Macaca fascicularis: one gene and its partners. The protein of the gene in region 6 interacts with the protein of the main gene of each other region in a pairwise test. Links are inferred from orthologs where the notes say so. Each region holds a gene or a part of one and is shown on either strand. Other genes may lie near its edges.

Region 1 (2,795 bases), on a different chromosome or scaffold from region 6:
TGGGCTCAGAATTAAGGTTTTGCTACAGTATGGTTTGCATTTTTTAACTCTGAAAATTATGGCCATCTTTGCAGTTATTCCACCAACCTCAGAAGGTTAATTGCTATTATGAATTGGTCCCTAGTATGGTAAAAAAAACAAAAAAAAAGCTTTTTGTGATGTATTTCCCTAGTTCTTATAGTCTTCTGCTCAGAAAAATGCCAGGGAAAAAAACTATTTTTGTATAACAAAGTAGGCCTGCTACTATTCTCTGGATGTCAGAACCGATTACATAGGAAGGGGGTGACTTGTAGGGCTGGTGGGAAGCCAGTCTGGGCACTGCTTCTGACTATGGGACCCAAGCCAGGCCATCATTCTCTGAACTTTGGTTTCGATCCTCTACAAACAGAGGAATAACCTGAATTATGTATGTGATGGTATACAATGAAAGTATGGAATACTCTTCAGATGACTTATTACAATTGTACAGTTTGGGACCAGGCAGCCCAGAAGTTCAAATAGCTTGTGTAGCATGGCAGATTCTGAGTTCCTGGATGAGCTGGGGCGGCCAGGCCAGGCCTCTTGGGCAACTAGCCAGGGAGGAGCCAGCAGGGTCTGGTTGGAGTTACACTGTCTGGACAGCCACACCGTGTGTCTGAGGGTTCCTCCCTCTTGTTTTTAGAGCTCCAGACCCATCCTGGCTAACATGGTGAAACCCCGTCTCTACTAAAAATACAAAAAACTAGCCGGGCGAGGTGGCGGGCGCCTGTAGTCCCAGCTACTTGGGAGGCTGAGGCAGGAGAATGGCGTAAACCCGGGAGGCGGAGCTTGCAGTGAGCTGAGATCCGGCCACTGCACTCCAGCCTGGGCGACAGAGCGAGACTCCGTCTCAAAAAAAAAAAAAAAAGAGCTCCAGACAGAGAATCTGCAACGTGTCCCCAGTGTGCAGAGCAGAGGCATCTGTAGTTCTGTGACTACCACAAGAGTTAGAGTTGAAGCCACTGCATGGCCTTGCTTGATTTAGTTATTCCACCCACATGGGGCTCGGGGTGCACTTGTAGCCCAGCATGGCAAGGCAACTTGCAGAGGCTGTCCGTTCACAGGCTTCCCGGGAGGAAGTGTAGGAGAAGGGATGGCACATAAGTCAGGCCTCCTCAAAGAAGTCACATGGGTGGTTCTGGTACCCAGCCTGCTCAGTGGTGGGTGGGCAGCTACTGGCCCTGGGCCTGGACTGTACTTCTTCTAGACCATCCATGCCACAGAAAGCACAGGTGCCTGCTCTGGCTCCCTGAGTGGTTGTGTGTGTGTGTATGTGTGTGTGTGTGGTGCTCTTGAGACAGGGTGTTGCTGTGTTGCCCAGGTTGGAGTGCAGCGGTATGATCTTGGCTCACTGCAGCCTCAACCTCCTGGGCTCAAAGCAGTCCTCCTACCTCAACCTCTCAAGTAGCTGGGACTATAGGTGCACCCCCACCACACCCAGCTAATTTTTAAAACTTTTTGTAGAGATGAGGTTTCACCATATTTGCCCAGGCTGATCTTGAACTCCTGGGTTCAAGCAGTCTTCCTGCCTTGGCCTCCCAGAGTGCTGGGATTACAGGCGTGAGCCACTGTGCCTGGCCCACCTCGGTGTTCTTACCTGCCGCCTCCCTCTAGGCATGTCTCGTGTTTTGGCAAGATCCAAACCTGTTGCCCTCAGCCGAGCTATTGGAATGGAATGTGGCTTTGGCCAGGAGGCAGCCAGGCACTGGCCACTCACCCAGCAACTTGTCTTGTCTGTCCCTCAGATCCAGAAGTGGGGCAACATTGAGTGGGCCCATGACTACGAGCTGCAGGAGCTGCGGGCCCGCACCGCTGCCGGCACCCTCTTCATCCATCTCTGCTCCGAGAGCACCACAGTCAAGCACAAGCTCCTGAACGAGTGAGGCCTGGGCAGCACACACTCAGCAGGATAGAGGCAGCGCAGCCACAGCTCCCCCAACCTTCAGGGCTCCTCAGCCTGTGGGGCTGACTTACTTGACTTTTGGGGCCTCGGCCTCAGCATCACCCTGAGATTTCCCTGAAACACAGTGCGCTAGTGCGACTGTCCGGAGGTCAGCCTGATTTCAAACCAGGTGCCCCTGGCCTGGTCAGCAATGAATGTGGGAGATGAATTGTACAACTAACTTTCTCTCAACCCTGATTTTATTAAATATTTCTCCACCCTGGAAATGTGCTGAGCCCTGTTTTCACGTGCACTTCTGCACTTCTCTATTCTTCCTGTTTTGTCTAGGTTCCAGAGGGTTAAACAGCTTATCTCCCATGGCATGTTTGGATATCTGCTGCCTGTGGTTGGGAACCTTGTGCTGGGGAAACAGTCATGTCATCCACAGACAACTCTATTTGTGTTCTTCAGCCTCAACTTGAAGGCTTTTTTTGGCTGGCTTTTAATCAATCTTTTGAAATGATCGTGGTTTAAGCTGGTTGTTTCTATTTGTTCCTACTGTTCTAAAACAAGTGATTTACTCTAGAAAGTAGAAAATGGACAGGCTTGGCGAGGTCACTTGATGTGCATGTTTCCGCTCATCTCCCACCCAGGAGTCCCAGGGGTCCTCCCGACATAGCCACCTCTAATGTCCCAGGAGGCAGGTGGTGCTGTCTGGTGTCACGCCAGTAAGAGGGCAGTGGGGATCCCGAGTGTGGTTCTTAGGCAGACAGGCTGTCTCAGTCCTGTGTCCTTGCCAGCCTGAGTAAGGTAATGGCATCAACCCTGTTCACACGGCACTGATCACATGCTGGGTGCCTCTCCATGCTTCCCACGCACTGTCTCCCTGAACTGT
Region 2 (3,988 bases), on a different chromosome or scaffold from region 6:
GATATGGTGTGTCCCCCCATCCTGACCACTGAGAGCTGTTGTTGCAGCGTGTAGGTAGAGACTAGAGAGTGGTGAAACAAGCCCTGGGAAACGCTGATGTAGCCCAGCCCCCACTCCTGTCCTCATTTTCAGCAAAGACCATGGTGGCAGCTCCCGGGCTCTCATCTGGCCCCTGTATCTATGAGCTCAGCAGTTTGCCTGAGTTGCACAGCTTATAAGCAGCAGTCAGGATTCCAAACCAGGTGCTGCCGGACTCCCAAACCCAAATTCACGTTTTTTCTCCCCGGCTCTGTGGCCTCTCCCATTTCACTAGCCAGAGACTAGGGCCTAGAGAGAGGCAGGAATTTGTCAGTGTGGCCGCCACCCAGGGTTAGGACGGCAAGCCCGAGAGGCCCAGAGCAGGTGCGCTCTCTGAGCTTGGTTACAAAGATGCTAGTCTAAGGCGGGGCCGCCCTGACTCCCTCCGCCTCAGCCCAGACAGACCAGAAAGGAGCTCTGGTTCACAGCACAGTGAAGGCACTCTCAGTGTCAGCCATCAGCCTGCAGGGAGGCCTGGGAAGACACAGGCCATGACCTGGAAGCTGAGGCCCTCAAGAAACAAGCAGGGTCTGTCCTGGGCCAGATCTCTGTCCAGTGAGAGGCTGTGGTCACTGGACAGCGAGGTGAGGGAGGAACTAGCAGCTCAGGGAAGAGACCCAAGCAGGGTTTGGGAGGTGTGGGGCAGCTGTGGAGGAAAGCAGGGGCCAGGGTGGGCAAGCTCACCTTTCAGGGAGAAGGAGGAGCTGCCTTGGACGACGGGCAGGTCATTGTCAGAGCTCTGAATGCTGGAGGAGTACTCCCAGACCCGGGAGGTGTAGTTACCTGGCAGGGCAAAGAAGGGCTGTCAGGCCCCCACAGCTGGGAGGGGGAGAGGAGGCAGGACCAGGACACAGCCAGGTCTGTGACTCTCCAGCCGCCGGCCACAACTTAACCCAGGATGCCACTTGTGATCCCAGTGATACCTCACCCCCATCCTTCTGCCACCATAGCTACCTTTCTAAAATATAAAGCGTAGTCCAGTCCCTGCCCTACCTAAAGGCCACTGTCCTCAGAATAAGGCGCAACGTCCCAAGCGCAGCCCATGGCTCTGTCGTGAGTTGCTCTCCCCAATCCCCACCACACACCCACCATCTCCCACTTCTTGGCTTCGCCTCTATCCTCCCTCCACCACTGGACATTCAAACCAGGCTAAGTCTCAGTGTCTGAGACACTCCAGCTTCTCTCCTGCCCCAGGCTATGTACCCAGACCCTGTCCTCTGCCTAGGACACTTCTCCTGCTCCCCACCCTCGGCGATTCAAGGGTGGGGTCTTCAAGTGTCAGCTTACATGGCACCTCCCCAATGTCTGCATGTGCCTCAGCCCCATCCCCACATCATCCTGCACCCCCTACCCTCTGGGTGGCAACTATATGTTCAATTGTCTGTCTCCCGCAGTGAGCTCACATGAACTAGGAATGTGCCTGTCTGGCCCCTACATCACACCTGGTGCCTGGCACAGAGCCTGGTTCCTGGAAGGTGTTCATTGTATGGTTGATGGACAGAATGCATGAACCAATGAACAAATAAATACAAACACATCCTAAAACTTGGGGATGAGACAGTCGATAGTTGCCAAGTTGAATAGGCTAGCACACGCCTATGTGCAGGCATGTCCCATAGTCCAAAGGAGAAGGCAATGGGAAGGGGGTGGGAGGAGCTGCTAGGGCACTCAGAGGGCACTAGAGTGGGGGGCTCAGAGCCCCCGTGGGTGATGCACACTTCTCCAGCACCCCCATCTGCCAGGCTTGAAACATCAGTGACCTCCTTAGTCAAGCTCACCCCTTGGCTGCTTGTGGGGAGGGCTGGGGGCTGACTTTCGGGCTCAGGGGTCAGAGATGGCTGGGGCTGGCCACCTGCCCCTGTGCAAAGCCCTCCCACAGGGATCCCAGGCAGCCTCTGTAGCAAGGCCTCAGTGAGCACGTCTAGCCAGGGCTCTGCGAGGCCAGACACCTTGCCCTTCTGTTCACTCATGCCTTTAGTCTCTCTCTCAACAACCGCTTCCTGACCCCCTCCTACTTTTGAGCTCTGGGCCTGTAGCAGCAAACAGGACAGACACAGCTCTGTCCTCAAGGTGCCCATGGTCTACTGCATATGTGGAGGAGGGGGTGCCACTGGTCACGGCTGTGAATCCAATCCTGGATGTAGAGGCCCAGGCATTGCTGTGGTGCCCCTGACCCTCCAGTCTCCATGGCTCTTGTCCTCACAGAAGAGTCCTCCAGTGCTATGTCTGGGGCGGGGGCTGACCCAGTCCCCTCCTTCCCCGTGCATGGCTGGCACGTGACCAGGAGCCCCCAGGACAGAACCAAGGGCTCCCAGAACCAGGTCTCATTGAGTGGATGGCCCTGCCCCGGAGCAAATGGTCCCCTCGGAGCACTGGGCAGAAGGAGACCCTGAACTTAGCAGCTCCCCCTAGGGAAGCCACGTCCCCACCCCCATTTCATCTCATCTAGGTCTTAAGGTGCTGCTCACTCGCCTCACCTCCTGGAGCTCCAGGGCCAGTCCCATTTCCTGCCATGCCTTCCTTTCCAGTCACAGCCAAGCTAACAACTAACCACTGTACGACTTTTCACTGCAGAAGTATGCAAATCAGTAGATTCTCTGTGGGCCCTCGTGCCCTCATACTGGCTGGGGGGCTTCCCCACACTTAAGCCCAAGGTGGCTGCTCAGCCCCAGTTTTCCCCAAATCCTTCCTCAGGAATCAGAAGAGCACACGGACTCAAGGATCTCCACGGATGCCGAGATTCCTGGCTATTTTTCCTCCAGCCTAACTGTGTGCCCCATGCATGTACACACACACACACACACACTTTAAGCTCGGTAGGTAGGACCCCTCTCCACCCGTGTCTGGGCCCCCTACCCATCCCAGCTTCCCACATTCATCTCACACTGGGGTCTGAACCCCGTGCCCCCTGGCCCCACCTCTATACCCCTCCTGCCTGCACAGTCCCCATGAACTCTGTGCACCCTCAAGCTGAGCCACCACCTACCTTTGGTGCCATAGAGATTGTTGAAATTCTTCTGGGTGTTCTCCTTGGTGAAGCGGCCGGGAGATGAGGGCTGGTATGATGTCCGGGCCCCACCTGTGAAGCAGATGAAGGGGGCTGTCATTGCAGAAAACGGTCTCATGCAGGACACCTTGTCCCCAAAAAGTTGCCCAAGTGCCCATCACAGGACCTGGATTCCACCACTGAGAGAGGTCCTTCGGGTCTGACATAAGGCAATCAACTAATTTATCACCAAAATTGGCATGCTTTTGAAGAGTAGAAGGGCTCTGTTAGTAACCATGAGGAGAGCATCAGCATAAACCTGGAGAGGCCATGGCAACCACAGGGGCAGAAGCGGTGGGAGATCAGAGCCTCACTTCACAAGTGCTTTCCTTTCCGCACACCTGGGCTCTCACAACAGCCTTGTGAGGAAGCAGTGGGGACTGATAACCCCACTGATACCCAGCTGAAAACAATGAGCTCCCCATGTGTGTTCTGGTCCTCTATTACCTCTGTCCCTCCCCACCTGACCCTCTCATAACACCACACCCCCAGTTCTGGCCCTGCCAGTCCTTCCTGTAAGCTTTTATGCCTGTGGTCCCTGATGCCCTCTGCCCATCGCAGTCATGCCCCTCTACTGAGCACAGGTTCCCGGAAACTCACCCCTCCTGGGAAGGAGTCACAGTCACTGTCAATCCCACTGACCTCAGAGCTCCCAGACTCAGGACCCAGTCCCTTTAGGAGCCTTGTTTCTTTCATCTCCTTGGTGACTCCTTGGTGTCCTCCCCACACCTCCACCCTGAGCCTGGGAGCTCCCAGAGGGCAGATTTCCTGTCCCTCCCATCCTCAGCATAGGCTACCCACAGTGCTTGGGCATGGATGCTGGGGGAACCTGCTTCTTCCATCACAGACATCATAGACTGACTC
Region 3 (3,988 bases), on a different chromosome or scaffold from region 6:
TGTAATCATTTCCTCCCACACCCCTACAGGGATGTTGCGTTGGGACTTACCGTGGTAATTCCAGCCACATGACCCAGGATGGGGACCAGTCACTGGGTGGGGCCATGTTGTGGTTGGAGTCCAGTGCTGCTGGGCTGCTGCAGTCTTCCTGGGGCTCATACTCCTTAACTTCCAAAGCTTTGAGTACTATCGAGGACGATGTTCTTTTCAATAATGCCACTGCCTCACTCCGGCTAACCTCTGTCAGTTCGACCCCATCCACATTCAACAAAATGTCACCTGATGGCCAGAGAAGCAGAAGCTATCTTGAGTGAGAGCACAAACATGACTTCTGCTTCAAGTGCAAGGGGGTAGGGGCTGATGGGATGCAGACATGCAGAGGGTAAAGGTTTTCTTTGTTAACGGGAGGCTGGGTGCCCACAAAGCACATGGTAAAGTGTGTGCATTCCAAGGTGCCGTTAAGACTTGTTTGGGGTTTTCTAAAGCACACCTATTGGTGTTTGGCTCTTGCTGAAGGAAGGAAGGAAGGAAGGAAGGAAGAGAGAGAGGAAAATTAGTCTTGTTCACTATTTAATCAAAGAAAACCTACTTTTTCACTCTTTTGTTTCTTGTGTTTAGCATAAAGTAGGAGGATTTGGCAAAAGCTCCAGCATTTGCACAGAGCCAGGCATGTAGTAGGCATCCAGTAAATATGGATTGAATGAAAAGAAACTACCCATGAGAGTGTCTGGCAGAGGAGTCGTGGAGCTGCACTTTTTTTTTTTTTTGAAGTGGAGTCTCGCTGTCTTGCCCAGGCTGGAGTGCAGCGGCCGGATCTCAGCTCACTGCAAGCTCCGCCTCCTGGGTTCACACCATTCTCCTGCCTCAGCCTCCCGAGTAGGTGGGACTATAGGCGCCCGCCACCTCACCCGGCTAGTTTTTTGTATTTTTTAGTAGAGACGGGGTTTCACTGTGTTAGCCAGGATGATCTCGATCTCCTGACCTCATGATCCGCCCGTCTCGGCCTCCCAAAGTGCTGGGATTACAGGCGTGAGCCACTGCGCCCGGCCAGAGCTGCACTCTTAAAGAAGCAGAAAGAACAACATTTTCATTGCCAAGGTGAAAATAGCTACTACTGATTAAGCACCTACAATGTGCAAGATCATTTCCATACAGATCATATAATCCTCTAGCTCATGTTCTGTTAAGAAGTCATTTGTTAACAAGCCACTTTGTTTGGCCTCATCATTCTCCACCCAGGTGTTTTGCAGAAAAGAGAAATTAAAACATACATCTCTCCTATTTCCATTTTCTATTCTTTTATCTTCATCCTGTTTCTTTCTGTCCTCTTTTGCTTATCTTTCTTAGACAGAATAACCACAGCAAGAGCAAAAAAGATAGGAGGAGAAAAAAGAGAAGGGCCCTGAGTCCTTTCTGACCCAAAAGAAGCATCTTTCAGCCAGCTGACTAAATCTCTTAATATACCATCCCCCTGTGGCTCCTCAGGCTCAGCAACTGTACTTGGGAAACTTCAATATATCTCTTGAATCTGGACTTTTAAATGGCATAAATCCTCATCCATCCGAGCTACCCTCTTGTATGAACTGACAATATTATTAAGGATACATATTTGTAGAGGCAAATTTGATATCACCTTCCTTTATTTATTCAAAGTAGCCCAGAACATATGAGCTTAAAGTAGTGAAATACTTTTCACCCTGGGAAAGTATCTAGCATGATACTTTCACTTAATGAGTATTCATGGAATCAAATCTATCAAATGAGTTTTTCTATCTAACTCACATAATGGAATAATTCATGAATTAGTTTCACCACTGGATCAACCCACCAAAGAACCATGTAGAATGAATGGAACTAAATTATGCCATTTAATAGAGGTAACTTGCTCATAACTTTAGCAGTTCTCTATTAATTCCTGGAACTGTTTGGAGATTCCAGCTTTACTTGCAGGCAAGTTGGCCTGCAACTAAGAAGAGTGGAACCTGGTCTAGTATCTATACTCAAACCAGTCAAGGGCAATGGGTAACAAAAGTCCTGGCTGATCACTCCCACATTCTCTCATTAATTTTGAAAATAGTCACCTAACACAACAAGCTACTAATTTCTCATAATACTCTGCCACCCCAGTGCCTTTAACATCCCTTTACTTTTTACCTGTTTTTATTCTTCCATCTCTGCTTATGACTCCTCCGGGCTCAACACTGATGACATAGATAGGCAAATCCCATTCTCTATGTGATGCTCCCCCTGCGACGGTCATGCCGAGAGATTCGCCGGGGTCTTTTTGGATATTTACCACCTTCTCATGACAAGTAATTTTAGGATGGAGGGGCTGAAAGCACAGACAGAAAAACATGGCACATGAATTTACAACTCTGGTAGTTTTTGAATGTAGAAAATGCAAAGTGGGTTTCCGTTTTCTAAATGCAAAAACTACCAAAACTGCATAAATTATGAAAAGTGCATAAATACAATGGTGGTTCTTGAAATCACAGAGAAAGACACGTGGAAAGAACCCTCAACTTATTCACCCCAACCATAATAGGGTTACATTGTCCCAAATTCTATAGGTTAACTCAGATAAAGTTTACATTTCAAAAGGAAAGAGTAAAAATGGAGGAAGGAACAGATTAGAGACCATTAGAAAAATACATTTCTAAAATATTTTTGGTGGAGACAAAGCCTTGCTTTATTGCTCAGGCTGGTCTCGAACTCCTGGCTCCAAGTGCCTTGGCCTCCCAAAGTGCTGGGATTACAAGCATGAGCCACTGCGTCTGGCCATGGAAGAATCTTAAGTACACAGACTGCACTCAAAATTTCGCAAGTGAGTCATTTATTCCTGATAGTAGTGAGTCAGCATTTCAGAAACACTGTCATTTATGAGTATCAGAAACTTTTCTAAGTTAAAAAAAGTAACCACATTTTATAGAGTCTTCTTTCACACCTGCTCAGTACTTACCAGACAGCCTTGCCTGCGGTGAGCAAGCGATGTTTAGTTGTGCACTGAGGGGCTGGATGCAATGGCTGAAATACCACAAATACGACATGTATGCATGTGTTCTGTGTCTCATGAACCAATGTTCATGACCATTTCCTTTCTCAACCAGAAAGAGACCAATGTCAGCAATGGGAAAAAAAAAAAAAAGAAATAATCTGTGAAAGCTTCATACCCGGGGTTACCTGACTTTGGCTGGAGAGGAGGATAGTTATGTATGATAGAGATGACTTTTCTATCTATCTTTTCTCTCCATTCTCCTCACCCTACTTTGGACACCTTAAAATGTTCCTTGATGTTTAAAAACATAATTTATGATAAAATAGTTTAAGCTAATTAAAAACACGATGGGTACCTGAGTATTTCTCAAACTATAAGACGTATTTCTATTTTAGAATATTTGCTTTGGATATTTAGAATAAAACATTTTAGACAAGTAACAAAGCATAAAGAATAACAGAATGACCTACCCATGTACCTCAAAACCCTACATCAGAAATAAACATTCCATGTGCACTTAGTCCCTCTGTCACTCTTTCTGCTCATAGTCCTTTCCTCCCCACAGAGGGAAACCATGCAAAATTTGATGCCTATCATTCCTTGACTTTTTTAATTGGCTAAAAGTTTTCTGTCCCACAAATCCTGCTTTGTCTTCTTTGGTATTTCTTTGAATTGTTTAAGCTCTTATTTTTAAAAAGCTACCTAGTTTCCTAAACCAAACAAAATTTTAGTAAGAATATAAAAATTGAAATCATCAAAGAATCATATATGTCTTAGTTTTATTTTAAATATGTTACTTTTTTGTGAGGATATTTCAGAAGGCAGATAGAATATAAGTTAAAATGGAAATAATTACAATTCCCACTAAGTCAATTTGTATGTTTCCAGGAATTAAGACACATGACAGAGGGTTGCAGCAGAAATGTGATCAGATCCTCCCAGCTCTTTCATGAGGAGGAGGTGGAAGGAATTATAAAACCACAGTGCAGATGG
Region 4 (4,584 bases), on a different chromosome or scaffold from region 6:
CTCACACCTGCAATCCCAGCACTTTGGAAGGCTGAGGCAGGCGGATCGCCCAAGGTCAGGAGTTTGAGACCAGCCTGGCCAACGTTGTGAAACCCTATCTCTACTAAAAATACAAAAATTAGGCAGGTGTGGTGGTATACATCTGTAGTCCCAGCTACTCAGGAGGCTGAGGCTGCAGAATCACTTGAACCCGGGAGGTGGAGGCTGCAGTGAGCCAAGATCTCGCCACTGCACTCCAGCCTGGACAAGAGTCAGACTTGGTCTCCAAAACAAAAAAGTCTCCAAACATTGCCAACTATCCCTTGGGGGTCAAAATCCCTTCCTGTCACCTAGTTGATAAACACTGCTCTAAAGGAAAGGGTGGTGACTTTTATTATCCCCAATTTACAAAAGGGGAAACTGAGGCACAGAGGAAATCATCCACCACCACACAGTGAGCAGAACTGGGATGAACCCAGGTTTTGGGCCCCAGAGTAAAACACTCAGCCACATGCCAAGTAGCCTTGTAGTACATCAAGCATTATTCCAGGGGTCATCTCTAGTACTGGTTCCGCAGGGAGGCTGTCCCGCTGCCCTGAAGCCTGGGGAGGCCTCCTCTAAGCTGTGGGACCCCACCAGAGGCTTGCAGAAGCTCCAGAAAACTTTCACTTTTACTTTTCCTGTATGCCCTCTCCATTATTTCTATTTTTCTTTCTTTCCTTCTTTTTTGAGACAGGGCCTCACTCTTATCAGTCAGGCTGGAGTGCAGTGGTGCGATCTTGACTCTCTGCAACCTCCACCTCCCAGTTCGAGCAATCTTCCTGCCTCAGCCTCCTGAGTAGCTGGGACTACAGATGCCTGCCACCACCACAACCAGCTAATTTCCTTACTTTACATTGTAGAGACAGGATCTCACTATGTTGCCCAGGCTGGTCTCGAACTCCTGGACTCAAGCGATCTGCCCACCTCGGCCTCCCAAAGTGCTGGAATTACAGGTGTGAGCCACCACACCCGGCCTTCTATTTGAATTAAATCCTTTTCTTCTTCTTTTTTTTTTTTTTTTTTTGAGACAGAGTCTTGCTCTGTTGCCCAGGCTGGAGTGCACTGGCACCATCTCAGCTCACTGCAACATCGGATTCCCAGGTTCAAGTGATTCTCCTGCCTCAGCCTCCCGAGTAGGTGGGACTACAGGCACGTGCCACAACACCTGGCTAATTTTTGTATTATCAGTAGAGATGGGGTTTCACCATGTTGGTCAGGCTGGTCTCAAACTCCTGACCTTGTGATCTGCCCACTTGGCCTCCCAAAGTGCTGGGATTACAGGCACGAGCCACTGCACCTGGCCAATCCTTATTTTCTTTTAAGGAGGTTGGGACGGTCATGTTAGCCAAATCTGCAATACACAAGCCCACATTCTTCCCACGAGCAGAAGTAGAAATCAAGAAGTGTTCATTTGAATGAACATACCTGAGGTCCGCAGCTTCTTCCTCTTTGTCATTTTATCTTCCCCTTGAGAAATCTGAAAACAAGCAAAATCTCTCATCATTATAAGCAGTCCCTGTCTCTGTTTATATCCAGTGGCTTTGGCTGAGAGCAGAGGTTACCCCCGCCTCCACCTCGGCTCATGTGGCTGCCCCAGGGGTCAGATGGCTCCCATTGGGACACAGCGTGGGACACAGAGTCACAGCTACTTTGGACCATGGCCAGGTAGGAATTCAAACCTCCTCCAAACTAAAGATCTTATGCCCAGGACCTGAAAGACAAATGGGACCTCGGGGGTCCTTATGGGAAGCCCCGGGGACCTACACTCTGGTCCCTGGGATGAAACAGCCTGTGTGAACCCTCCCTCCCGACTAGGGTATCTGGGGGCCCTTCCAAGGACACTTGAGGACTCTCCAGGGGCCTCTGGGGCCTTTGGAGACCAGCCCGGCCAATATGGTGAAACCCCCTCTCTACTAAAAATACAAAAATTAGGCTGGGCGCGGTGGCTCACGCCTGTAATCTCAGCACTTTAGGAGGCTGAGGTGGGCGGATCACTTGAGGTCAGGAGTTCCAGACCAGCCTGACCAATACGGTGAAACCCCGTCCGTCTCTACTAAAAGTACAAAAATTAGCTGGGCGTGGTGGCACACACCTGTAATCCCAGCTACTCGGATGGCTGAGACAGTAGAATTCCTTGAACCCAGGAGGCGGAGCTTGCAGTGAGCCGAGATCGCTCCACTACACTCCAGCCTGGGCGACAGAGCAAGACTCCGTCTCAAAAAAAAAAAAAAAAAAAAAAAAAAAAAAATTAGCCAGGCATGGTGGCACACACCCGTAATCCCAGCTACTCAGGAGGTTGTGGCACGAGGATCGCTTGAACCCAGGAGGCAGAGGTTGCAGTGAGCCAAGATCATGCCATTTTAAAGGGGACAGCTGCATCCTTGGAGGGGCAAGAGCTGCCACAGGCCGGTTTCTCCCAGCCTTGGGGGCCAGGCAAGCCAAAACGGACCTGGGCCGCAGAAGTCGCTGAAGACCCTCTGTCCTTATCAGAGACGAACTCTGCCTGGATCCGTTGGGAATAAGTCGGTTGAATTATCAGCGTTTACTCTTTTTGGAAAAAATAAATGGCCAAATTGGCCCTCACAGAAGCCTGGAGGCCTCGAGTCGGGAGCTGAAGGATGGAAAGGCCTGAGGGTGGGCGCTGTGGACCCCGCTCCCGGTGACAAGCCCCACACTAACACTACGTCGACCACCGAAAAGTGAGAACTCCACAGTGAGTCCTCACAGTGAGTCCTTCCGCCCACGTGAAGCCGGAGCCTATCGGTGACTGAGGGACGCTGTGAACCTCACACAGGTCGCCGCCCCTCCCACCTGCGCTCGCTCTGCCTCTTTCCCGCGCCTCGCGAGGCCCCGCCCCGCGCATGCGCGACGCAAGCACCGCCCACGCAGCCCGCGACTGTGAGCACCGCCCTGCGAAGCGCATGCGCGCCCGCGCACTGCCTGCCGGGAGTTGTAGTTTCGGCTCGGCGGACCCGGCGAGTCCAGTGGCCGCGCTCCGGTGCAGCGGCGCCCGAGGCCCGAGGCGGAAGTGGGGCGGCCAAGCAGGGAGGCGAGGGCTTGGGATCGACGGCCGCGGAGCGCCGACGAGGGTTGCAGGACTCAGGAAGGGCGCGTGCGCGGCGACAGGGCCCGGGGAAGGAGGCAGGGCAAGGCCGGGCTTGGGGGCAGGTGGTTCGGGCATCCAGCCTGGAAGATGCACAAGAGGAAAGGACCCCCGGGACCCCCGGGCAGAGGCGCCGCGGCCGCCCGCCAGGTGAGTCTGCGCCCCACGGCGCGACCTGGGGATCCCTCCCCACCCCGGTCACACACTCAGGGAAGGGCCCCACCCCCCAGGGAGGCCCGATCTCCGCCCCCCAGGTAAACCCCGGTCCCCGCCCCCCCTCCAGGTGAGGCCCCAACCCCACTCAAGTGTGGTCTACTACTGGCCTTGGCTCCCCAGCTCCTGGGGCCCTGCCCCAGGTTCGGGGCCACCTGTTGCCACAGCTGCTCCAGTCGGGGAGGGGCAGTCCTCGGACTTGACACATCAAACCCTTGCATCAGTCGGGCCATGCCAGACTCTATTCCATTGTACAGATGAGGACGTTGAGACTCAGAGACGTGAAGACATCTGCCCAAGGTCATAGGGATTAACAGCTTGGCCAGAGCTAAGCACAAATCCAGGGCCGCAGCCGTAAGCTTATGGCACTTATGGCACTGTGGCTGGGCCCCTTCTCCCTCTCCCAACTCCTCTGCCCCAGGCACCAGATAGTTTGATTTTTCTGTTTTCATGGAAGGAGCCCAGGACATAGCTTGGTGTTCAGATATTAGAGTCTGGCTGACCTGAAGTTCCCTCCTGGCCTCTGTACATTGGACATTTGACTTTACAGCTCTGAGCCTCAGCTTTCTCATCTGTAAAATGGAGACCTCTATAATCCCAGCACTTCAGGAGATGGAGGCAGAGGCGGGAGAGTCATTTGAGGCCAGAGTTTGAGACCAGCCTGGGCAAAAGCGAGACCCCCGTCTCAACAAAAAATAAAAGGACTAACTGGGCATGGCGGCATGTGCCTGTAGTCCTAGCTATTTGGGAGGCTAAGAAGGGAGGATTGCTTGAGCCTAGGAGTTCAAGACTGCAGTGAGCTATGATCGCACTACTTCTGCTCCAGCCTGGGTGATAGAACAAGAATCTCTAAAATAAAAATTAAAAATTAAAAATGGAAGCCGGGTGCGGTGTCTCACACCTGTAATCCCAGCACTTTGGGAGGCCATGGCGAAACCCCATCTCTATTAAAAATACAAAAATTAGCTGGGCATGGTGGTGGGCACCTGTAATCCCAGCTACTCAGGAGGCTGAGGTGGGAGAATCGCTTGAACCGGGAGGCGGAGGTTGCAGTGAGCCGAGATCGCACCACTGCATTCCAGACTGGGTGACAGAGCGAGACTCCTTCTCAAAATAAATAAATAAATAATAATAAATGGAGACCTCCAAGAGACCCTACATTACAGGATAGTTGTAAAGAGTCATTGAGGGCCGGGCGCGGTGGCTCAAGCCTGTAATCCCAGCACTTTGGGAGGCCGAGACGGGCG
Region 5 (3,988 bases), on a different chromosome or scaffold from region 6:
AAGCGCACACAAGGCTGCACGCACAAACCAGGAAGCAGACATGGCTTGCTAGACAGGGATGGTCTGGCTGTGACTCAATGGCAAATGACTTGACCATTCCACTTTAGCCTTTGGGCCCTGGGAGTTTCCTCTCCTGGTGTGTAAAGTGGCGTTGACAACACTGAATTACCTATGGCCTGCTAGTCCGGCTCTCAAAAATGCCTTATGCAAACCTGCTTGTTAGTAACTGTAAAGTACAAAAGTTAAAAAGCACCTGGGTGTCTAAATTTGAAAATAATTCAGTGTTTAAGGCTGACATTTTGAGAAAAAAACAAAAAACAAAAAACAAGTTTAATTGTATGCCATTAATTTGTGACATTTCCAGTTTAAAACTCACAATTCAATGGGCTGCATTTTTTTCAACCCCCAAACAATAAATCTTTTGGGGGAATGTTTAAAACAAAAAACGTTAACTCCTTAATCTCCTTTGGCAAGTGCAAAATACTTTTTATAAAGAAAAGTTAAACTGTTTCTTATATTACTCTATAAGTAGGGCAATAAAGTTATTTGAAATTTTATCAAATTGTAATTATAGTCAAACTGTAAAGAAACCAAAAAACCTCAAATATATATCCACAGCCAGTATTCCTTCAATTTATACATTTAGAAAAACTAGCTAAGTATTCAAACAAATGAACAAAAAAGATCACCCAAGCCTTGTGTCTTGGCAGACGTGTAGCAATGATTGCATTCTGTTGAAATTTCCCCTTTGCAAAATCTAGAGCAAAGATAAGGCTTTTTTTCTTCTTGTGCTTACTTTCAGTTCTTTATTGAGATGCACCAGTATAAAATTCCCTAAGTAACATCTGGAATTCCCCAGTGCTAAGTTATTTGACTAGCAATTGAGCAACAGCTATTGTACTTTTTGTTCTGGTGTGTAGACATTTAAACTGCGAAGTGCACCCTGGACTTTCCAAGTGGGTGTGGTCAGGGTGAGCTGGAATAGGGCTACTCATTATACAAGTGAAATCGCTGCAGCCAATAGACGCTGGAATTTTTCACATGAAGTTTCAATTTTATGCCACCTACTCCCTTCCTCATTCACCACAGTCTCATATCCTCAAATGCAAACTTGTGAATCACCCCCTCCCCAAACAGATATTGCCTTTGAAGAACCCTCCTATCAAGGGAAGGATTAATTTTTTTTAAAAGGTGCTAATCAAAATCAAATTTAAAAAGTCATTTGTTTTCCTCCCCTCCCTAAATATCTTTTCTTCGTTTTTTAGAATCTTAAGGAGTTTTCTTGAAAGTGAAGAAACAAAAGGATTCTGAGTCCAAAAATGATTTCCCAGAAAATGTTACACAAATACACCTGCTTTTGTAGTTTTATTTCTAGTGTGGCTCCTTGTTGATTTAAATGACATATTTGCAAAATAAGTGTTTCCTATTTATATTCCTTTTTTTTTCCTAGTGGAAATAGAGCATTTCCTTTCTTAAGGAAATAAAGCAAAAAGTCAGTTAATTCTCTTAATAAGGTTTTCCCCTTTCTACCACATTTTTAATTCAGCAGAATCTTTGTTTCTAACTCCCCCAGAGTTGACTCCATCTCTTTTTGGTAACAAATGGGAGAGGATTAAAACCACAAATTGTCAGGCACATAAACCCCGTGATGATGACTTCACATAATTACCTACCTCTATGTATCACTTTATTTAATGCCAAGAACAATGCAGACAGTAGCCATCCCCAGTTTTCTTTCTATGTATGTTTCTAAGAATCAGTGTTTCATAAGTCTAGGCAAGATGTTGGGGTAATGTACAAGAGTCCCCAGAATCAAAATTTAAAAACCCATGTCCACTAATCACTCTAAGTTACCCAAGTCAAAAAAAGCCAAAGTTAATGTACCAATGAAGTTAATTAAGTTAGTGTTCTTATCGTAATCATTGTCAACAAGGATTTTCTTCCCTTGGACATATTATTTCTATTAGGATGGCTTGGGACTGTCACAGATATAAGGACCTGAGATTCCTGCTCTTATGTAGACTATGAGCATTTAATTGATCTTGTACAGTCTACTTGCTTATTGTCATAATTATCCACATCCATAGAGTAGAATTTTGTGCCTGCATGGAGCAGTATGCTCTGACATTCCTGTTAATGCACATATTCTTACCCAAGGGAAATGATTAAAAAACAAAACAGTAAAGCTTGGAATAGGAAATAGCTACTAGTGGTAAAGGCCATTGGCAGAACAGCACAGACAGGAAGGAATTCAGTGACTAAGAACCCCTAAAAATAATGAAGGTGAAGTCTAAAATTCATGCTAAAAATTTCAGCTATCTATTTCACCTTGCAGGGCATAGGCAATAGAACCTAGGTCAGAGAGGAGGAGGAGACAAACGAAGTTCTTCATGTCTTCAACAGCCATTCACTGGTTAACCCATAAAATGCTACCAATTCAAGAAGTGTAAGAACATCACAAGCATTTTCTAATGACAGTGGGAAACAAATGTACTACCAGTTTTCACACCATGCTTTCCTTTTGAACTTAAAGGCTTGTAACATTTCCATTACGGGCCAGTGAAGGGTATTTTACAGATGATTAAACATTTGCAAGAATGAGAAACAAATTGCCTAATCGGGGTATGGTGTTTACAAATGCATTCTCCAAGCCTCAATGTGCTCTGCAATATACGCAATCAGAAAATATCCTTAATAAATAGATTCACAAAACAAGTCTGCTATTATCACATGCCCCGAATAGAGATTCTATACTAAGGTCTCAATACTAAATCTCAAGACTGATTTGAGCTTGGGCTTGTGCTAGTAAAGCTTGAATGGGGACCCAGCAGGCGGGAGCTATCACCCAGGCAAAAGAAGCACAACAGATCAAGTTTTACCGTTCGTTTTCAGCGCCACAAGCTTCCTGACTTCTCGACACCAGTTGAGTTTCTTCTGGCTTTCCAGGGAAGCCTGGATGTTTTTGTCGATGAGGGCTTTGTGGATGATCTCCCGAAACTGAGGACAAAACTGGCAAGTTCTGAACATTTCCAGTGTGTATCGGTGCATGGTTTTAAAATGATGAATGATCCCATTAGTAGGTTTAAAAATATCTTCTGGAGTTCTCTCCCGTATCTTCACAGCTTTCCGCATATTGCTCAAATACAAAGCCTGAGGAAGGACTTGTTCAGCCATTGTGCTCTCCAACACCTGAAAAGGAAAGGAAAAAAAAGCCATTCCATTAGCCTAACTTTAATACGACTCCTATATAGCTGCCTGCAGGAAACCCCAGTGTTTGATCTTGTCATTACCCTGATCTGTAGGCAAAAGATCTTAGCACCTCTACTCCCGGGATACTAGCTGGCCCCAGAGATTAACTCACACTGGACTGTTTTAAGTTACATCACTTGAAAAGATTAGCCTAAACAGGAGAAGGAAGGCAGAGAGTGGGTACTGAGGAGGAGGGGAATAACCCGTGTTTTCAGTAACTTTTGTCAGGGAGCCAACCCTGTCTGACAGCAACAGGTACTGCTCCTCAAAACCAACGTAAGCTCCTGTTTCATTCTGAGGCCACGCTGAACAGCGCTGGATTTGGGGAGTACCGGATGCCAGTTAAGGGCTCAACATAGCCCTGACAAGTCTGTAGCTCCTCCCCTCAGACCACCACCAGGCAATCCTACTCTTGGGCCAAATCTTGAGTTATCACTCCCTCCCCTATGCTGGAAGGACAGTAAAATACTTTATGAAAAATCTTGCAATTTTATGCTGTCACTTAGGCTGCTGGCTGGTGTTTCCTCTTTATTCCCAAAGAGAAGTATTTATAAAGTGTGTATTCATAAAGTTTATTCTAATGTTTATAAAGAGTTAAAACCGAATGTTTTCTAATCAATAAAAAAGCCCATTTCCACCAAGATACTTTGTAATTTTAAGAGCAGTCAGCATTCCTTCAGAACCTCCCAATAGGACTTCATATCAGAATAAGAAACAGACTAACAATAGGCTAGGCATG
Region 6 (3,988 bases):
AACTCTCTCTGTTCCGTGATGAATGACTTCCTTAAACACAGGGACTTTTAAAAAACTTTCCAATGACTGGTGCAATACTAGCAAATTGTAATTGCTCATTAAATACTTAGTAGAAGGTGAAAATATGAAAAATAAAAAACAAGGAGAAAGGGGAAGAAGAAAAAAAAACCATACATGTTCTGTGTGAGCCATTCCAATTCCATCTTCCACGATTTGTTCTCCTCCTTCAATGTGCTGTACAATTCCAACTAATTTTCTGGAATAATCTGAGATTTCCTCTGTGAAGGTCCGTATGCAGTGAGCCATATCTAAAATTGATGCTCGGATCTGATTAGCTTCTGGTTCCAATACTGAATGCTATAAAATGTAACATGAGAAAAGAACTCATAGTATTGACTAATAATATAGAAAAATATTTAAATCCCTGTTAATACAAAAAAGCATCAGCCACAAGTGACTTTTATAACACAGAAAAATACTATAATTTACTTTCACTCCTTTATAAGAAAACTGTACTGCAAAGAAGTAATTTAAAATTTGGAAGTACATTTATTGCTAAATAAGAAACCAAGAGACTATCTCTAAAATTATATCCTAAGTAAGAGCTAACAGACATAAATATTGTCAAACAATCTGGTGCATTATGAAAACATGCAAACAAAGAGAATGTTTGTTTCCTGCTCAAAGGCTATTTTTTTGTGAAGAATGACGCTCTTTGAAGTTTTTCTTTTTTAAATAACATTTAGAAATTAAATCTCTCATTTATTTTCATGCTACCAAACACAATCATTCATCACTTAACTCTTCTTCAATGCCTACTTTCAGAATAAAGAACCAGGTCAGTGAAAACGAATACTGAGCTGGTAAAGTAGCTACAGTGATCCAATTGATTAATAATTAAATTCATACCTTGTGACCTTGGTGTTTTCCATATTCTTTGCAGACACAGCACATGAGTGGGCTAGTTTGACAACCTTCTTCTAAGCAAACAAACTCAATGGCATGCACCTGGTGCTGAGAGCACATGGTTTTCTCATGAGGTTTATCAGCTAGAGGAACTCGCCTGTGCTTTGCTAATGTCTTTGTAGAATGAGTAACTTGAGAACACTCAGAGCACAAATGAGTTGCACACACAGTGCAATATACAGATGCAAGGTGAGCTTCATCTTCATCACAACGAATGATGCTCTGATAAACAAAAAATTAATGCCTTAAAATTGAACCCAATCAGTATAACATGACAAATTTTTAAATATAGAATCCCATAATCTTTTTAGCTTTACTGACCAATATTTACATATGAAAATATATTGGTCATTAAGCACAAAGGTCATTCAATACTCATCCGAGAAACATTCATTTCTACAGGTAAGAAGCTATTTCCAAGATTAACTGACCAATATATGTTATGAATTTGAAGCCAAAAATAAAACTATTCTCGTAGATTCATATTCGGTGCAAAGATCTCTTCCACCAAATCCCCTCACTTTACACAAAAGAAACTAAACCATAGAGAAGTCAAAAGTCTTTTTTTAAAACTACAAAAATCTGATACTAAACATAACCCCATAGCTTTAAGTATTAGTTGTCATGATGATGTACAGGAAGGACAGAAGCACAAATACTATTTAGAAAATGTAGGAATTAGCTGTAAGCTTTTAAAAACATAGTTGTCTGGACGCTAATCTGAGAAATTCTTATTTCAACAGGTTGTGGATGAACCCTAGACTTGTATATATTTTTCTAATTATACACCACATATTTTAATAGCTCCACAGGTGAGTCTATTGCACAATCATGGCAGAAAACCACTGATTTAAGCAAATAATTAAAAAAAAAAAATAGGCCAGGCTCAGTGGCTCACACCTGTAATCCCAGCACTTTAAGAAGGCTGAGGCAGGTAATCACTTGAGGCCAGGAGTAAGAGACCAGTCTGGCCAACATGGAGAAACTCTATCTCTACTAAACATCCAAAAATTGGTCAGGTGTGGTGGTGCACACCTGTAATTCCAGCTACTCAGGTAGCTGAGGCACAAGAATCACTTGAAGCCAGGAGGCAGAGACTGCAGGTAACTGAGATCACGCCACTGCACTCCAGCAAGGGTGACAGAGCAAGACTCTGTCTTAAAAAATAACAATTAATAAACAAATAAAACCTATATGTAAGCATCTAAATATTATTTCTAGTTTTCAGGAATTACAAAAAATAATTACTAAATAATTATTTTTATTTCAAGTAGATAAAATATTACATGTCAGATAATCAAGAATGCTTTGAACACTTTTACTAAACGTTAAAAGGCCATAAGTGGAAGGGGAGAAATTTAGTATAAATTTTTTCAAAAATAAAAATGTTTAAATACATCAGTGGTGTCATTCATTATCACATTAAATAAAAAACGAATCCAAAGTGGAAGAGTTTTGTTTGCAATTATAAGAAGTGTATATATGTACCATAAAAATTCAGGTCTTCTGTTTTCCAGACCTGACAAATAAATAAATTATAAATTATAAAGTCAACATTAGCTAACAGTAATGTCTTTTGAAGTAAAGATTTAGCACATGAAAGAACTGCAGAAATTTTAGAAAACAGAGTGTTGCAGTTTGAAATTAATTTCACTGATTCACTTCAGTATAAAGAAATCATCATCTAATAAAAGAGAAGCAGAAAGCAATCCGACATTTTTTTTCTTGATACAAATATGTGGTTTGCAAGTTGATCACCAAAATCATTAACTGATATTTACTCCAAATATATTTCTATCCATAATAGCCTATGAAAGCCATGTCCTATAGTACATATGTGCAGCTGTGCAAATAATACGTAAGTGCTAAAAATATACTTTTACATTATTAAAAAATCCAGTGTTCATGGATTCTAATATTTACCAGATATCTACCTGTATGGATAAAGACAGTACATCTATACAAAGTTTAACTTTTTCTTGAAGATAGAATAGTAACAATTCCCTCAGAAGCTACTGCTATCTTTAAGGCAATTTTCCCTGTATATTAAATGGCCTCTTACATGGAGTTTTACTTTCTCTCATTGAGTTTTTCTGTTGACTAATTTACTTTTGCATCCTCTGCTCCACTGTTGCTTACTTATCTTTCTTACTATGCTATAATCTTCTTCCTCTTTTCACTTTATCCTTGGTAGAACTGAATTATGATAAGGGAAAAAAAGTTCACACATAAGGCATAGTTTAGGCATCGTATTTTCAAATAATTCTAGTTCTACTTTTTTCTCTTGGGAATAGTGCTGGCCTTTAGAACTGTAATGTAATGCAAAGTTGTGTTTCTAGAAATTTACCTGCTGAATTAAATGAGGTAATATTGTGCTAATAATGGCATATATTAAAAGAAAAATTCATGCTCGTAACAAATATTTCACCAAGTATGATCAATACCTCTCCAGATATCCCAATGGATTCTTCTGCAGCTCCATATTGACCAATAGGCCCATTCTGCAGTCGTTCCAAAAGTTCCAATAAAGCAAAATTTTTTTTCAAGCCCCAGACACCTGAATCTCCTAGAATATAAAAACAAAAACTAAATCTAACAAAATGGACTATTAATCGTTTTACCCATACCTCAAAAGTAATTTCTAATCCATATAGTTCAGTCGTTAATGTCTAAATTTGAAAAATTCAAATTTTCCCCATTATTTGATACCAAAATAATTGCTTTGTTAATACTCTCTTTTAAAAAACAGAAGAATCCCTCAGGCTTCCAAGTAGAAACACACTTTAAAATTTATTATTTTTTGGCCAGGCGCATTGGCTCACGACTGTAATCCCAGCAGTTTGGGAGGCTGAGACGGGCAGATCACTTAAGGCCAGGAGTTCAAGACCAGCCCGGTCAACATGGTCAAATCCTGTCTCTACTACAAATATGAAAATTAACCAGGTGTGGCGTCAGGTGCCTGTAAACCCAGCCACTCAGGAGGCCGAGGGACGAGAATCACTTGAACCCGGGAGGTGGAGGT
Region 7 (4,695 bases), on a different chromosome or scaffold from region 6:
ACACATGACTGGGCAGCATACTAAGTTCTGGTCAGGAGCTCAGGGACCTTAGTTATGGCAGAGAACTTTAGAGATGGATATTGATGGATGCAGGATGGTCAGGACACGAAGCAGACCAGAGGGACTAGAACGGTAGCATGCAGGAGGCCACAGCTCGTCCTCATCACAGTGGTACAGGGACTGCATCTGGTTCTCTGTTCCCTCTCCTTCAATAGTTCTCTGTTCCCTCTCCTCCAATGGAACAGGCTATTGCAGGAGGCGACAAGTTCCCTGTGCCTAGAGGATTCAAGCTTAGGTTAAACAGTAACTAGGAAGAGATGTTGCAGAGGTGATTTAATCTGGAGGTGAAAGTATGCCACATTCATGGTCACTTTCAACCCTGAGCTCCCGACCAGCAACTAGTTCCTTTGCATTTCACTACTCTCCAAACTCGCCTCACTTCAGTCAATGGGTGTTCATTCACTCAGGACAGTTATTGTGCACCAGCTATATGCCATGGGCCAGGAGTCAGTAGTGAACAGGACAACACACCTCTGCCCTCTTGAATCCTATGTTCTCCTGGGTGGATGCACACAATAAACCCATAAATCAATGCATGAATAAGATCATCCCAGGCAAGCTCTATGAATAAAATACAAGAAAGAATGTGATAGAAACTAATGGGGGAGGGGCTGCTTTGGATAGAGTAGTCAGAAGAACCATCTGTACAGGGGAGACATCTGGGCAAAAGGGCAAGAAAGAGCCCAGCATGGAAGAAGTGATGGAAAAGCATGCTAGGTTGAGGGAACAGCAAGTGCAAAGGCCCTCAGAAGTCTTCTGAAAACTTGAACTCAAACGTTCATGAATTGCATCCCAGCCTAAAGGTCTCACCACAGGCCAACAGTGCCTAATCTCACAGCCTGCGTCTCTTTCCCCTAATTGACCAAGTCAAGGCTGACCTGTATTGCCTACTGAAAAGTGCGTTCTGGGAGGGTGAACAAGGGCAGCCCCCAATTTGCAGGGAATTGAGATGTAACGGGGGCAAGAACCTTCACTTTCCTACCAGAAGTTCAGAGTCCACTTACAGGCCTCATGGAGAATACAATGTAAGGGGAAACTTCTGGAAAAATAACTGTGCCTCATGTATATTTCAGGACATTCCCTGGGGCTCCAGGTACAGAGCTCTTATCTGTGGAGTTCAGAAGACAGAAACTAAATTTCCAAGAAGATACTAAACGGGTGCAGCCCAGGAGAACTCTACAGATGGAGGGAGCAATCTGCTAGAGATGAATGAATGCGGGAGAAGAAGACAAGATCAGGTCCCCGGACCCTGAAAGAGACTCCCGCACTCACAGAGACTAGACAATATCAGCCTGTCAGGGGACCCAAGGCCTAAAAGAATCAAGTGAAATCTACCCACCCTCCCCCCGCCAACAAGAGGCAAACATCCAATCGCACCCCAGAGCTTCCAAAGAAGATCCAAGACCCCACTTCCCAACAGAGTCCTTGACAAAGTTCATCTCTAATTCCACATTCTGAGATATACTTTGCACAAGGCTGGTTAGCCACAGGAAGTATTACAGCAAAGCTCAAATTTCCCAGGGCGGAAGAGAACACCATGGCTCCTGTGTAAACACCACCAGCTCCTTACCAGAAGAAGGGGAAGGAGCAACAGCCTGCAGACCCACCTCATTGAGAAGCTAGGGCTGTGTACGCGCTGTTAGATGTCAGTGATAATAATCACAAGAGCAGCTAACACAGAGGATTTATCCTGCCCCAGTCAGTATTTTAAGCACTTTATCCCTATACAAGTCTTTAAGGTTTGTACTATTTTCATCCCCACCTTACAGATGAGAAAACTGAGGCATAGGTAAGTGAAGTAACTTGCCCAGGACTACACAGCTAAGACAAAGATCCAGCGAAGCTCTCCTCCTCCACACCCCAGGGAAGAAAGTGGTTATACCTGGGTAGTGCATGAAACGCTTAAAAATAAGTTTCTACCGGTACATTCAGGTCAACTACCGTCTGGCAATTCCCACGTCCTCGCCCAGTGCGGGAAGCAAGCCTGGGACAGGCAGTAAATCCAGCAACCCGAGTCCTCTAGGAACAAGGCGCTCTGTTTCCGCAACATTCAAGCGCGTGATGGGGCCGCTGATAGTGCAAAAGCAGCTCTCCACCACCGCAAAGCCCATGGGAACCCGTTTCCACTCGGCTCAGTCGGCCTCAGAAAACGCTCACCCGTCTCTGGCTGCGAGGCACCCACGCTGACCTTAACCCCTTGGCGTCCGCCACCCTGGCGTCCTATCTCTGGATCTTCTGGCCGCTCGGTTTAAAAGATGCAGCCGCCGGGACAAGGGCCTCAGGCAGGCTGGGACGGTGCCCGCCGCCCGGAGCGCCCTGAGTCCGGCTCGCCCGCCGCGAAGTGACCCGCAGCCCTGTGAGCCGCCACCAGCAGCGCGCAACGCGACGCTGACCTGCGAGTGCCCCGCCAGGCTGGAGAAGAAAGTTGGGCGAAAGGGGCGCGTCCCAGGACAGGTGGCGCCTCCCTCCCAGGAAGTGGCTCCGGGAATTTTCGCTCAAGGGGCTACCCGGGGACCAGAGTCAGGGTCCCCAGCAGGAGCGACGACTGGTCGAGGTTGGCGGTGGCACTGCCCACTTGCACTGCGCCCAGTGCGCCCCCGTGCGCTGGACGTACCCTAGACCAGGGAGCGCTCAGGTCCCGCCGGGGGCGCCGAGACCTGGCGGGGTAACTCGGAGGTGGGAGTGGCGGGGGTCCAGCTCCGGGACCGGGGCAAAGGAGGAACCAGCCCGGAAGAGGGTCTCACTCCGGGAGATCTAGCGGGGGTGTCCCACCAAGGGGGTGTCCAGCCGGGAAGGGTCTAGCCGGGGAGCGGGGTTCCCGGCTGCTGCCCGCACTCACCTCGGCCCCCGCGCTAGTTCGGCCTCTCCAGGCTGGAGAACTCACCGCGGAGGCGGCGGCGGATCCCCTGGGCGGGGCGGGGCCGGGGGCGGGGAGGCCGGGCCGGCCACGTGGGCGGGAGGCGGGCCGGGGACCCCCGCGGGCGCCGAAGCCGGGCGACGCAGGACTAGGACGTGGCCACGCCCGGCCACCGCTCGACACTCCAGCTCCCCATGCACGGCCTAGGTCTACGGGAAGGCTAGAAAGAGGAGAGCGGAGACCCCAGGACATCCCTCCCCCGCCGCCACCTAAATCAGACTGAGGCTGAGAGAATTAACCGAGTCGGAGGAGTAAACAGCCCTGCCTCTGGCTCCAGCTGTCCCGCCAGAGAACGCGCCGCGGAAACCCCGAGGGTGGGTCGAGGGCCGGGTACCCTAGTGGGAGGGGACTCTCGTGCGGGGGTGGTAGGGGCTGCCCTAGCGGTCCAGGGCCAGAGCCTGCACGCGGAGCTCCCACCCCCACCGCTGGGCAGATCTTGGGCGTGTCAGATCTTGCCCAAGCCTCACTTTCCTCGATGGTGGAGGTGAGAATGAGAACGAGCTGCGTGAATCCGGGCGCACTGTAGGCTCTCAGGAATCGCCGGCTTGTAGGTGGACGCCGAGCCTGAAAGTGAGGAGCCTGGGTCGTGCATGCGGAAATCAACATGGGACTCTAAATAAAACGAGTTTCTGCAGGCATTCATTCATTCAACAGATGAACGCCTACGGTCCTCATCACCTCTTAAAATCAGAAATAAAGAATGCCCTAGACTGTCGTTACTGGGCTCTTAAGAAAATGTAAACCCCGATGCTAAAAATGAAAAATTCATCAGTTGCCCCCATGTGCCGGCAGTGCATTTTAGGTGCTTGATCGAAATTAACATTCACGACAGCCTGTGCGGGCCCGCTTCTCAAATGAAGAAATCGAAGCTTAGCGAGGTGAAGCCAGCCCCCAGAGCCAGAGGATCACAGTCTGGCCCCCTGTTTACAGAGGAAAGAGCATCAGCCCAAGGTACTAAGGCTCTTGCCCAGGTGCAGGAAGGGGGTGAGGGTTGAGAGCTCCCTGGGAGGCCACCTGTCGTGACAGCAGCAGCTGGGATGCAGATCTTCCAGATTTACTTCATAGCAACCTCTGCCTTCTGTTGCCAGTGCTCAGCCCCGCAGTGCTGGGTGGCCTCTTCCTGGCCTACAGCCCACCTTTTGGGCCAGAAACTGGGCATCTTGAGCAAACCAACTTCTATTCCAACAGCTGCAACTTCATTCCACTACAGCTTGACCCCAGACCCAATGCATTGTGACCCACCAGTTTCCTGTTCAGGGAACACACTCTCCCCAGTACTCCATTTCCAAGGACAACTCCTGTGTCCAGACCCCTAGTCCTCAGTCTTTTCCCCAAGAACCTTTTGTCATTCTCCTTACTCCCTAATGCAGAAGATCCCTACGACAACCAGCCGTGTTTATCAAGTAATTACATTTATTAAGCAAAGGGCTTCTCCTGTCTCTGAAGTGCCTGCTCCCTCATCTGAGCTCAGCAGTGGCTTCAGATCCACCAGCCAACACCTGGTGTTCTACTCAGGCAGGTTTGTCAGAGAAAAGTTTTCTTTGCATTAGATTCAATTTAACAATTATTTGAGCATCTACTACATGCCACACACTGTGCTAGGCTCTGGGGACAGTAGTGACTGTCCCCAGATACCGAGACAGACAGTCCCTGACCTCATGGAGCTTATGAGCTGATGAAGGAGACAGTCAACTGACCCCTCACCGGGCAGCAAGAGA

Evidence for each region.
Region 1: the proteins of TRIM23 (region 6) and ATPAF2 interact in binary tests that used the Homo sapiens proteins (3 or more experiments, as listed by UniProt). The two-hybrid records come from large-scale screens. The link is inferred for Macaca fascicularis from reciprocal best matches to the Homo sapiens genes TRIM23 and ATPAF2.
Region 2: the proteins of TRIM23 (region 6) and TRIM29 interact in binary tests that used the Homo sapiens proteins (3 or more experiments, as listed by UniProt). The link is inferred for Macaca fascicularis from reciprocal best matches to the Homo sapiens genes TRIM23 and TRIM29.
Region 3: the proteins of TRIM23 (region 6) and LNX1 interact in binary tests that used the Homo sapiens proteins (3 or more experiments, as listed by UniProt). The link is inferred for Macaca fascicularis from reciprocal best matches to the Homo sapiens genes TRIM23 and LNX1.
Region 4: the proteins of TRIM23 (region 6) and BRME1 interact in binary tests that used the Homo sapiens proteins (3 or more experiments, as listed by UniProt). The two-hybrid records come from large-scale screens. The link is inferred for Macaca fascicularis from reciprocal best matches to the Homo sapiens genes TRIM23 and BRME1.
Region 5: the proteins of TRIM23 (region 6) and TNFAIP3 interact in binary tests that used the Homo sapiens proteins (3 or more experiments, as listed by UniProt). The two-hybrid records come from large-scale screens. The link is inferred for Macaca fascicularis from reciprocal best matches to the Homo sapiens genes TRIM23 and TNFAIP3.
Region 7: the proteins of TRIM23 (region 6) and ARHGEF3 interact in binary tests that used the Homo sapiens proteins (3 or more experiments, as listed by UniProt). The link is inferred for Macaca fascicularis from reciprocal best matches to the Homo sapiens genes TRIM23 and ARHGEF3.

Annotation. Positions count from the first base shown.
Region 1 is NC_088390.1:18,132,936-18,135,730, reverse strand, and holds the end of ATPAF2 (ATP synthase mitochondrial F1 complex assembly factor 2), read left to right. Parts: intron 1-1,763; coding exon 1,764-1,901; 3' UTR 1,902-2,187; downstream 2,188-2,795. UniProt on the Homo sapiens protein: Plays a role in the assembly of the F1 component of the mitochondrial ATP synthase (ATPase).
Region 2 is NC_088388.1:118,981,856-118,985,843, forward strand, and holds part of TRIM29 (tripartite motif-containing protein 29), read right to left. Parts: intron 3,158-3,988; coding exon 3,065-3,157; intron 862-3,064; coding exon 763-861; intron 1-762.
Region 3 is NC_088379.1:80,434,038-80,438,025, reverse strand, and holds part of LNX1 (E3 ubiquitin-protein ligase LNX), read right to left. Parts: intron 2,333-3,988; coding exon 2,155-2,332; intron 280-2,154; coding exon 51-279; intron 1-50.
Region 4 is NC_088393.1:14,325,091-14,329,674, forward strand, and holds the start of BRME1 (break repair meiotic recombinase recruitment factor 1), read right to left. Parts: upstream 2,881-4,584; 5' UTR 2,833-2,880; exon of another isoform or gene 2,471-2,832; intron 1,499-2,470; 5' UTR 1,478-1,498; coding exon 1,447-1,477; intron 1-1,446. Other genes in the region: CC2D1A (coiled-coil and C2 domain-containing protein 1A), read left to right, coding at 3,215-3,274. UniProt on the Homo sapiens protein: Meiotic recombination factor component of recombination bridges involved in meiotic double-strand break repair.
Region 5 is NC_088378.1:41,910,731-41,914,718, reverse strand, and holds part of TNFAIP3 (tumor necrosis factor alpha-induced protein 3), read right to left. Parts: intron 3,567-3,988; exon of another isoform or gene 3,291-3,566; intron 3,190-3,290; coding exon 2,880-3,189; intron 1-2,879. UniProt on the Homo sapiens protein: Ubiquitin-editing enzyme that contains both ubiquitin ligase and deubiquitinase activities.
Region 6 is NC_088380.1:71,308,402-71,312,389, forward strand, and holds part of TRIM23 (E3 ubiquitin-protein ligase TRIM23), read right to left. Parts: intron 3,533-3,988; coding exon 3,411-3,532; intron 1,189-3,410; coding exon 910-1,188; intron 358-909; coding exon 175-357; intron 1-174.
Region 7 is NC_088376.1:120,162,118-120,166,812, forward strand, and holds the start of ARHGEF3 (rho guanine nucleotide exchange factor 3), read right to left. Parts: upstream 2,934-4,695; 5' UTR 2,218-2,933; intron 1-2,217. UniProt on the Homo sapiens protein: Acts as a guanine nucleotide exchange factor (GEF) for RhoA and RhoB GTPases.